2 linked regions of the Drosophila melanogaster genome follow. The main gene of each other region encodes a partner of the protein of the gene in region 2 in a complex. Each region holds a gene or a part of one and is shown on either strand. Other genes may lie near its edges. The genes, in order: pho and pont.

Evidence for each region.
Region 1: pont (region 2) and pho share a complex: the UniProt entries of both Drosophila melanogaster proteins name them as parts of the chromatin remodeling Ino80 complex.

Annotation. Positions count from the first base shown.
Region 1 is NC_004353.4:1,178,345-1,183,489, forward strand, and holds the start of pho (pleiohomeotic), read right to left. Parts: upstream 3,285-5,145; 5' UTR 3,246-3,284; exon of another isoform or gene 3,024-3,245; intron 2,938-3,023; 5' UTR 2,795-2,937; coding exon 2,704-2,794; intron 1-2,703. UniProt on the Drosophila melanogaster protein: Polycomb group (PcG) protein that binds to the 5'-CNGCCATNNNNG-3' sequence found in the regulatory regions of many genes.
Region 2 is NT_033777.3:10,260,151-10,264,596, reverse strand, and holds pont (pontin), read right to left. Parts: upstream 2,475-4,446; 5' UTR 2,255-2,474; coding exon 1,438-2,254; intron 1,381-1,437; coding exon 1,182-1,380; intron 1,121-1,181; coding exon 766-1,120; 3' UTR 698-765; downstream 1-697. UniProt on the Drosophila melanogaster protein: Acts as a transcriptional coactivator in Wg signaling caused by altered arm signaling. Pont and rept interfere antagonistically with nuclear arm signaling function, and are required to enhance or reduce arm activity, respectively.

The sequences.
Region 1 (5,145 bases), on a different chromosome or scaffold from region 2:
TGCCATGAGCAACAAAAGTAGGGAGCCTTGGGTTATTTCCAATTCTGACAGGACAGTTTTTGTCAGTTACAGCATGATCACCACCGCAGTTGATACACAAATAATTATCCCTCGTGCATAGCGTAGAGCCAGTTGCGTGGGGCCCAGCACGCTTGCCACAGATTGAACCCCGGAGACAATAGTTTTTGGAACGCCCAAAAATATGGCATCTCAGACATTGCAGCACTTCTTGCCTGCGAACAGCTAGCTTGGGTGGTTATGGTGTTGGTAACATTGGTGTTACTACTAGTTGTCAACTTCGCAAGCTCGAGAGATAACAATTGAGGGGCTTACAAAGCGTCGGCTTGGTTGAGCTTATCTATGATAAGTAACGTAATTGTCTGTCACCACTGCTGTGCATTGGATAGAAATAGAAATTGTGCGCGTGCACAGTACGATTGGAAGAGTTGTTGATGTGTTACAACAAACAGACTAGACTATCGCGATCGTCCGTATGCAACGAAGGCTAGGCAGAGACTGGGCATCATTGAATGGGTCCAAAAAAAATTCTTAATGTTTGCCTTGTGGGTCCTATTCCTCATTCCAGTAGACTAATTCTAATTCAGTTACCCTCCCTAGCTAACCGTAGAACGATGCTTGGAACAGTCTTTATTAGTAAGTTTACGAGTAGTACGATACGAGTAGTCCCGACCTGGTTTTTCGGCGAAACTTCTCTGTTCCAAGTATATTCACTAGAAACTACATACCCTTAATCTTAAATCATTCTGTATGTTCATGTTATGTTCTGACTATAATAGACGTAATCCTATTATCTGTAATCTTTACTCTCTGCCGCTCTTACAGCAATCAATTATAACTTTTTTAACACATAATTAGATCTTACTAATATTACACTTATACTTTGTTGTTTTATTTATTTCCTCGTTTCTGGGCTCTTTAAAATTTTATTTATTGCATTGTCCTTTTAAATATGCAAATCAACTTAATCAAATTCACTTTTTAATTTTTATTTCGTTAAACAACATCAGACAACTCTATTCTAATAAACACCATAAAAAAGTAAATGTCCATTCTACAAAAGTAAAATAAAAGTCGCTCACGAAAGAGAGGGAGGGATCAGGGAAAATATTTCAATGAATTCAGCTGTATATTGATCCTCTAAAGAAATAATTCTTTCAAATTTGGAAACTAGTTTACCTAGAAACGGACAAAAAGTGTATATAATGTATATACTTTATAACGTAATTAATACTTTATAAATATTGAACAAGTACAGGCAGACAATTTCGGGTAAAGGCGATTATATCAGTGTAAGCAAGCATGCACAGCATGTTGATATTTAAATCTATGAACAAAGGAGAGAAAATGTTCGAGTTCTCCGACTATCAGATACCCATTACGCAACTAGTGGAGAAAAATAATCAAATAGCAGTCTTGAGCGGATTTGTCTCTGAAATCTGCATGCTTAATCTCAACTTTCTAGCTTATTTAGTTCCTGAGATCTCGACATTCATACTGCCAGACATATCCAGTTCGACTTGGGTAGTTCACTGGATCAAAAATATATATACTTTATAGGGTCGGGAACGCTTCCTTCGGTTGCCATTGTTTTTCGAAACCCCTTTTACTTTGCGAGTTTAAGAATACTTATATAGCGTGATAAATTTTCAACCAAATTAGCTACTATATTCTCTATACAAAATTATTTGCGCAGCTAATTAAAAATACTTTAAATTAAAATTCTATGTCTTCAAAAGCACATTAGGATATCCGCAAATCCGTACATATCCATATAATATTCTTTAAATCTTTAAGCCAAAAGCGAAAAGGTAACGGGTCTTGTGCGCAACACCATCATGGAACTGGGAGATCTACGGCACACTAAACTAACGCTCACAAGGGTATAAGGACTCTGCAGTTTAGCAATTAAAGAACGATGTGAGTCAGATGGGAATCAGAATAACAGCTTTGATTGTGGACAGTCATGCGGCATATTAACATTTCAAGCGAACACTAGCAAGAGCGTGCCTGTGAGCAACACCATTATTGAACTTGAACGTCTACAGCACACCCAAACTAACGCTTACATGGGTACCCGGCGTCTCCGCCATTACAGGTAACTCACGAGAGATGAGGATTAGCCTCACACCCGTCAACACTGTGTTTTGAGTGATAGTCTTCCGAGTCTTGCCTCCTTTGGAAAAACCTTAACCTAACATATTACTGAACAATCTGATGATACTTCATTTCTTCGATGCCAAGGCGCTTAAAAGCTGACATTAACGATCTGGGCTTGGCTTAAAAATGTTAGTATGGCGGCTTAAACAATATTAAAATTTTAGTTTTGACAGTTTTTGAAGGTTTGTGGGCGTTGGAGTAGAAGTGGTAATTTTCTCTAGAATGTGCATGCTTTATCTTAACTTTCACATCTTTTATTTAGTTCCCGAGATCTCAACGTTTATACGGGCAGATCGACTTGGCGCTAGTGATCATGAGTAAGAATACTGTGGTCGATTCCTTCTACATACTTTTCAACGAATCTAGTATACCCTTTTACTCTAGGACTAACGGGTATAACAAGTAAATATGTTTATATTTTATGCTTCATTAAACAGTATTTTGTTGTTACGCTTTATAAAAAAGTGCTTTGTTGCTATAATTCGATTTTCAAAACATAGACATGCCTGTAAAATCCGAACTTACCTTCATTCATTTTCTGATTGACTTTTGTGTTGCCTATATCTTCATCGTACTGTTCACTTTGAAGAATAATTCCAAAACGTTCGTATGCCATATTTACAATACTATAATCCACATACGCATGAGTTTAAAGTTAGTATTAAAGCATTTCAAATGCCAGGATAATTGTAGGCACATGTGTTAGGTAAGATTTGTATGTTTCCTGAGCGTTGCATTCCCTGAGGCTATTTGATGTATCTGAAAGAACAGCATTTTTACTGCCATTATTCCATATGTAGGCAATATAAGACATGAATATAATATCACGGATGATTGATACGTACACACACAGAATTAATAATTGTCATATTTAAGTAGGGAACATAATATACATTAAATATGACAAACGGTTCTCTAAGAAAATGTAGTGAATATGTTAAAAAAATTCTGATTGAAATAATACGAAAGATTAATTAAACGCCACATAAATTTAATGATAGTCGAATTGTTTCACTAAAAGCCGAGGAAAACAAAAGAATTCAAGTAATTTTTATAAAACGCGATACCAAATGACTCAAAATATTGAAAAGGTTATTCTGCTTGTTTGGCATGGGTATTCGATGCCTAAATATTTGGGTTTTTTGCAACATACTAAACTTTAGTATTTTTTTACAACGCAAAATATATCTTGATTCCACGTCGACTAGCTTCTAAATATAGAACAAGCTGGCTGTAATCTCTGTAATTATATCGGTATAGCTTGAAATATACATGCAAAACATAAAATTAAATAATACTACAAATTTGTAAACCGATATGAATTAAATTTTTCATATGCTTAAAGAAAATCCTATCAAAGAATGTGTATATTTTTCTATTAGTTTTAGTGATAAATAAAGTTCATATGATACGGTCCACAAATACATTTCGAAAATGTGGAAATGGAATCATCCTCATTTCGGAAAACGAGTGCAATCATGCTATAACCAATTTCCCATCGTTAACAAAGCTTAACATGAGACTGGAACAGATTTAAAAGAGGCAACTGTTAAACGAAAGGGGAAAGTTTCTACTGCGTGGGATCAGGCACCGATGGTTCAACATCTCTACTGATCTTGTGTTCTGCTGTAGATTTGAAAAAGCGCCAATTCTGCCAATCCTTGTGTTTTGTGCTGATGTAAGAGATGCCAAGCATGCACAGCGATAATTTATAGTCAATCATGCTCCTGTAATTTTTATTTTTTATTTCGATTTGGGCAAAATCTTTTGATTTCGTTTTTAGCTGTTTTGGTTTTCGCAAAATTTTTGCTATCGGAATGTTTTGTAAACATTAAACAGCTGTTCAAGCTGTTTTCCAGACCATAGAGCGGACACCTTTTTTTACAGTTTTAAGTCCGACGTTCGCAATTACTTTGTTATTGCACTTTGACATTTAAGTAATAAAAATACATTTAATTAAATACATACAACTCTTTTGGCCATTCCTGAAATTCATTAATGAATTCTTTTATATTTTATAAGTATTTTTACCTGCCTGTTTCGTTTTACCAACAGTATGGCAGCCTTCGCAATAAATATTGGGAACGTACTTCTCCTTTGCTAATCCCCTTGCTAAATCGAAAATATTTGTTGCTGACGGCAAAATGTTGTTTGTCAAATCTGAGGTGGGGTCGGAAATACATTTTTTGTATAATAACGCATTGGCAGAATGATCTTGTGGTGATTTGGAATTAACATCGATAGACCACTGAATAAAATATTTTTTCCTTAGTTAATAAGATCTGATTTGATAGATATATGTATGTATAACAGGCATTTACTTTTAATTTCGCCCAGACAAAAGTAAAATTCTTACGAATTCGATTACCAGAGAATGTCAATATTGACCGTCACCAAAAAAGTGACTGCATTGTGCTAAACCAACGTATGGTCGTTACCAATCATGTTATTCTAATGTCTTTGATTTGACTCTGTTAATAGAGATTGAGAAATATCGATGATGGCGGACATCGATGTTTTTGGCGAAATATGTTGAAAAAACATCGACGTTTTAAATAAAAACAAAAAAGAATTCATCTATTAAATTTATTATTTTCTTTTTTAATATTGCTTCAATAAAGAGGCTGCGTATTGTCGTCCACCTTTTCATCCGCCGGTGGTCCAGTAATTGCTTCTATACAACAAATACAATTACATATATAATTAATGCATTTTCATGGAAAAGTAAACTAATATGCATTACTATATGCATACATGCATACAGTAAAATAATTGTTATATATTTGAGTCTAACTAATTTCAGTTGACTAAGGTCAACGCTAAGAAATAAAAAATTATCATAGAGATGGTTTTCACGTCTTTATTCTTTTGATCTCAGCTTAAGACTATATGTTAGTGACAAAAATCTTTCTTATACTGCCTATGTTTACATTATTTCTGGAGCGGGATCGCCCGCTTAAGATATTT
Region 2 (4,446 bases):
ATAGCAACAACAAATCGCGACTTTTATTATGATTTCACATTCTTTCGGAAAACCACAAACGCACTCACACTTACACACACACACGCACGCCAAGTGCAGTTGCCGGCGTTGTTGGAGCGAGCGAGAGGCAAGATGCAAGACGCGAGGGGAACGGGCCGAAAAAGAAGAAGACGCCCACGCCGCGAATCGAATCGTTAAATATACTATTCACTGCATGCACTTCAGCGGAGCTCCCTGGCTATTTATTTTGGGGCAGTGCGCAGCTCGACGCTCGTTGAGTAACTGAACTCACCACCAATTGGAATTCTTGGCCAAACAACGCGAGCAGCTGATGTCGCATGGTGGGAAAATGAGGGTGGCGCGAGTGGAAGTTGCCATATCGCTGCGATCACAAGCAGCAAATATGGAAGATTAAGCGGAAAACGAAAGACAAAATAATTACAATCAAACAACCGAATTATAAAAAGAAAATGGTTAGTCCTCCGAGTTCGTTTAAATATGCTTATCTACGTATCAATTAAAAAAACCGTTGAAAGAAATTCACGATTCGCCCTAATCTAGCTAAGACACCAACCAAAAATTTCCGATTTACTTTCAGTTGAAGTGTGTACACACTTTTCTTGTCGATGTTTGAAGCGCCATTGAAATGATCATTTGAATGTTTTCAAATTACCACATCATTACAATAAATTAAATTGCTTATTATTTGATTTTTACTGGGAAATCCGTGCAAATGGAATTACAATTCAGCTTGAATCGTCAAACTTACAACATAAACTTATTGTTCTTTTCGGACAAATGCTTCGAGGAGCGCTTGGCGTCAAGGAAGAGCGAGTGCACATCCTCGATATCATCCTTGCTGATCTGGTTGCGTCCGTTCACCTTGCACATCTGATGAGCCGGGGTCAGCAGCTGGACGGCGTAGCGCAGCGTGGAGCTGGTTCCAATCTCGCTGAGACGTGTAAATGCGTTCTCCTCCAGCTGCAGTCCCTCGGTCTGGGCGCGCAACTTGATTATCTGCTCCATGTCGGCAGTGGAGTAGAGTAGTGTGCGGATGATCAGCAAACGATCGAGCAGATCTAGCGGAATTCCGTGCGGCGAAACTATGTCGGTGGTGCCACTGGAAAGAGGTAACTCTTATTAATAATGCGAATAGGTTTTACGAGCTAAGTATTTCTAACCGAATAACACAGCGTCCACGATTGGTGGCAAAAATCACAATTGGTGCAATGGGAGATTCCAGGGACTTGTGTAGGTAGGTGAAGGTCTCCAAATCAAGCATGTGAATTTCATCGATGAAGAGAACTCCGGGAACCAGCTCGGCTATGCCCTGGTCAATGTACTTGTTTACCACCTTGTTGATCTCCATGCGTAGTTTGTCTGCTCATCAAATGGTATTTTAGTAAATTTGAATGGGAAGAAAATTACACAACTAACCAGTGATTTCAGTTTTCTTCGGCTTCATAAGCTGGCCCATCATGGAGAGCACATCCTGGCCGCCCTGTGGACGAGCATTGGCCACATCCAGATCGTGCAGAGTAACATCCTGGATAACCTCCTTCTTCTTGTGGACATCGCCCTTGGGCAGCGGCACATACTCCTCGGTTTCGAGATCAAACTCAGTGGCAAAGGTGTCACTGCGACCCTGACGCTTTACGGCACCACTGTTGGCCTCTATGTAGATGACATCGCCCACCTCCACCTTTTCCTTTTGCAAGGCATCAAAGATGCTGGGATCCAGCTTGAGCTGCTTGGTTCCCTTGGCTGTTTTCAAGCCGATGACGACATTGCTGATAGTCTTGCCATAGCCACCCATAGGATTCTCGGTTTCCACGGGCGTGAGTTCCGTAACCTCGCCCTCGTACACCTCTTTGGTCTCACGAATGCGCAGACCAATGGAGCGCCGGAAATTCTCCATTAGCACCTCGGTCTTCTTGATCTCATTGCTGAATACCTCCGATCCGACCATGGGACAGAAGGGCACTTTGTTACCCAGCTCCTGGGCAATGGCCAGAGCAATGGCGGTTTTGCCCGTGCCTGGTGGCCCAGCCAGCAGAAGCGCTCGTCCGGCCATCTTTTTCGATTTGATGAGGTCCACCACAATGCCGGCTGCCTCGCGTGCCGCCTTCTGACCCACCAGTCCGGCTGCACTGTGCACGGCAGCTCCAACCTCGTCCAGGCCCAATCCCTTCACATGGCTGTGGGCTGCGATGCGTTGGGTGCGCACGGTGCTCTTGACTTCCTCGATCTTCATGGCGCCTCTAAATCCGTGTCCTGCCTGATGCTAATACTCTGATCCGTTTCCGGTTTCAGCTGTTTTTCGCCCGAGGGAGAGGAAATGTGAAGTCAAGCGTTGCAACGATCAAACAAACTATTGTTTCGTTGCCGTGGATAAAATTTGTTTTTCTGCCGGCGTTTTGATTGGAAATTAGAAGCACACTTTGTTTCCGCAGCCGTTGTTTACAGTGTGACCGTGCGAGTTGGAAATCCAAGCATGTTGCTTGGTACACTGAACCACATGGTAGAAAATAAAATAATTTATAATAAATGTTTTAAATATAATAACAAATATTTTGAGTTAATACTTTACATTTATATTTAATCAAGGTAAGCTAAGATATTTGAGATTTATTTAGTTTTTACCAAGCTGCAAATTATATTACACCTTATACTTTTTTTTAATGACCAGTGTAATTTCACTTGGCACGTTTTAAAGTATTTTGTAGCGTTACGGATACGGTCATATTATAAACAATAAAATCTCGATGGACTCATTTAGCCGTACAAAATATAAACAAATTAATACCAAAAAGACATAATAGTCGCTTTTGAAGTAGATCAAACTTTTATCAAACCATGAGCTGCAACTACGCGGATGGATTGTCAGCCTACGACAACAAGGGAATTTTGGGAGCACCAGAGAGTTTCGACAGCGATGAGGTTGTGGCCGAAAAGTGCCAGGAATTGGCTGAATTGATCAAGAAATCGGGACACGTTGTCCTCCACACGGGAGCTGGGATCAGTACGTCTGCAGGAATTCCGGATTTCCGCGGACCCAAGGGCGTTTGGACCCTGGAGGAGAAGGGCGAGAAGCCGGACTTCAATGTTTCCTTCGATGAAGCCAGACCAACTAAAACCCACATGGCTATCATAGCCCTGATTGAAAGTGGCTATGTGCAGTACGTAATCTCACAGAATATTGATGGTCTCCACTTGAAATCCGGACTGGATCGGAAGTATCTTTCCGAATTGCACGGCAACATTTACATCGAACAGTGTAAGAAATGCAGACGGCAATTTGTGAGCCCATCTGCCGTGGAAACAGTGGGTCAAAAATCCCTGCAACGTGCCTGCAAGTCTTCAATGGATAGCAAAGGTCGTAGCTGTAGATCGGGAATCCTATACGATAACGTTCTGGACTGGGAGCACGATCTTCCCGAAAACGACCTCGAAATGGGTGTGATGCACTCCACCGTCGCTGACCTAAATATTGCGCTTGGAACCACTTTGCAGATCGTTCCCAGCGGAGACCTTCCTTTAAAGAATCTAAAATGCGGTGGAAAATTTGTCATTTGTAATCTGCAGCCCACAAAACATGACAAAAAGGCTAACTTAATCATATCCAGTTATGTGGATGTGGTTTTGTCCAAAGTTTGTAAACTATTGGGTGTTGAGATACCCGAATATTCGGAGGCTTCCGATCCTACAAAGCAGTCCAAGCCAATGGAGTGGACAATACCCACAAGCAATGTAAATACCTTTCACAGACAATATAAAAAGTATGTTTATTTTATTTATTATTTATTATGATAGATAGAATAGTTTACAAAACTAGACTAACTTAGATAGTATAGCATTAGCTACGGGGCTTACAGCTATATTTATTTACAATGTTATTATATCTTAATTTAGTTAATATCTAATTTGGTAACTAATTGCTGGCTTGTTATGTACAAATGCCTGTTTTGTTTTTAGATTTTGTGGTATAATTTAGTTTTTTTGAGGAAAAGTATGAGTTTTTGTATGTTATCTGGATTGGGTTTGCTAAGAAGGTCTAGAGGGTTGGTGTTGTTAAATATATCTTGTTTGGTTTGTAGGAGGGATGGGCATGAGTTAAATATGTGGTTTAAAGAAATATCACCTTGGCAAAACGGGCAAGTTGGTATTGAATTGGGATTTAGGTAGTGTTGGTGGGTTATGTTTGTGTGTCCTAGTCGAAGTCGTATTATTTTTATTTGGTCGAGTCTGGTCCAATTTGGGTGGGATTGTTTAAGGTAATCGCATGGGTGTGAGGTGTTCGTGTTAATAGATTGGTACCATGGACTGCAGTTTATTATGTGTTCTTTCTGTTTTGTCGCAAGGTCGGCTTTAAGGTGTTTTTTTATATCTGTGGTATTTATGTTTGGGGTGAGGATAAGTGGCATACTGCTTGCTGATTTTGCAGCT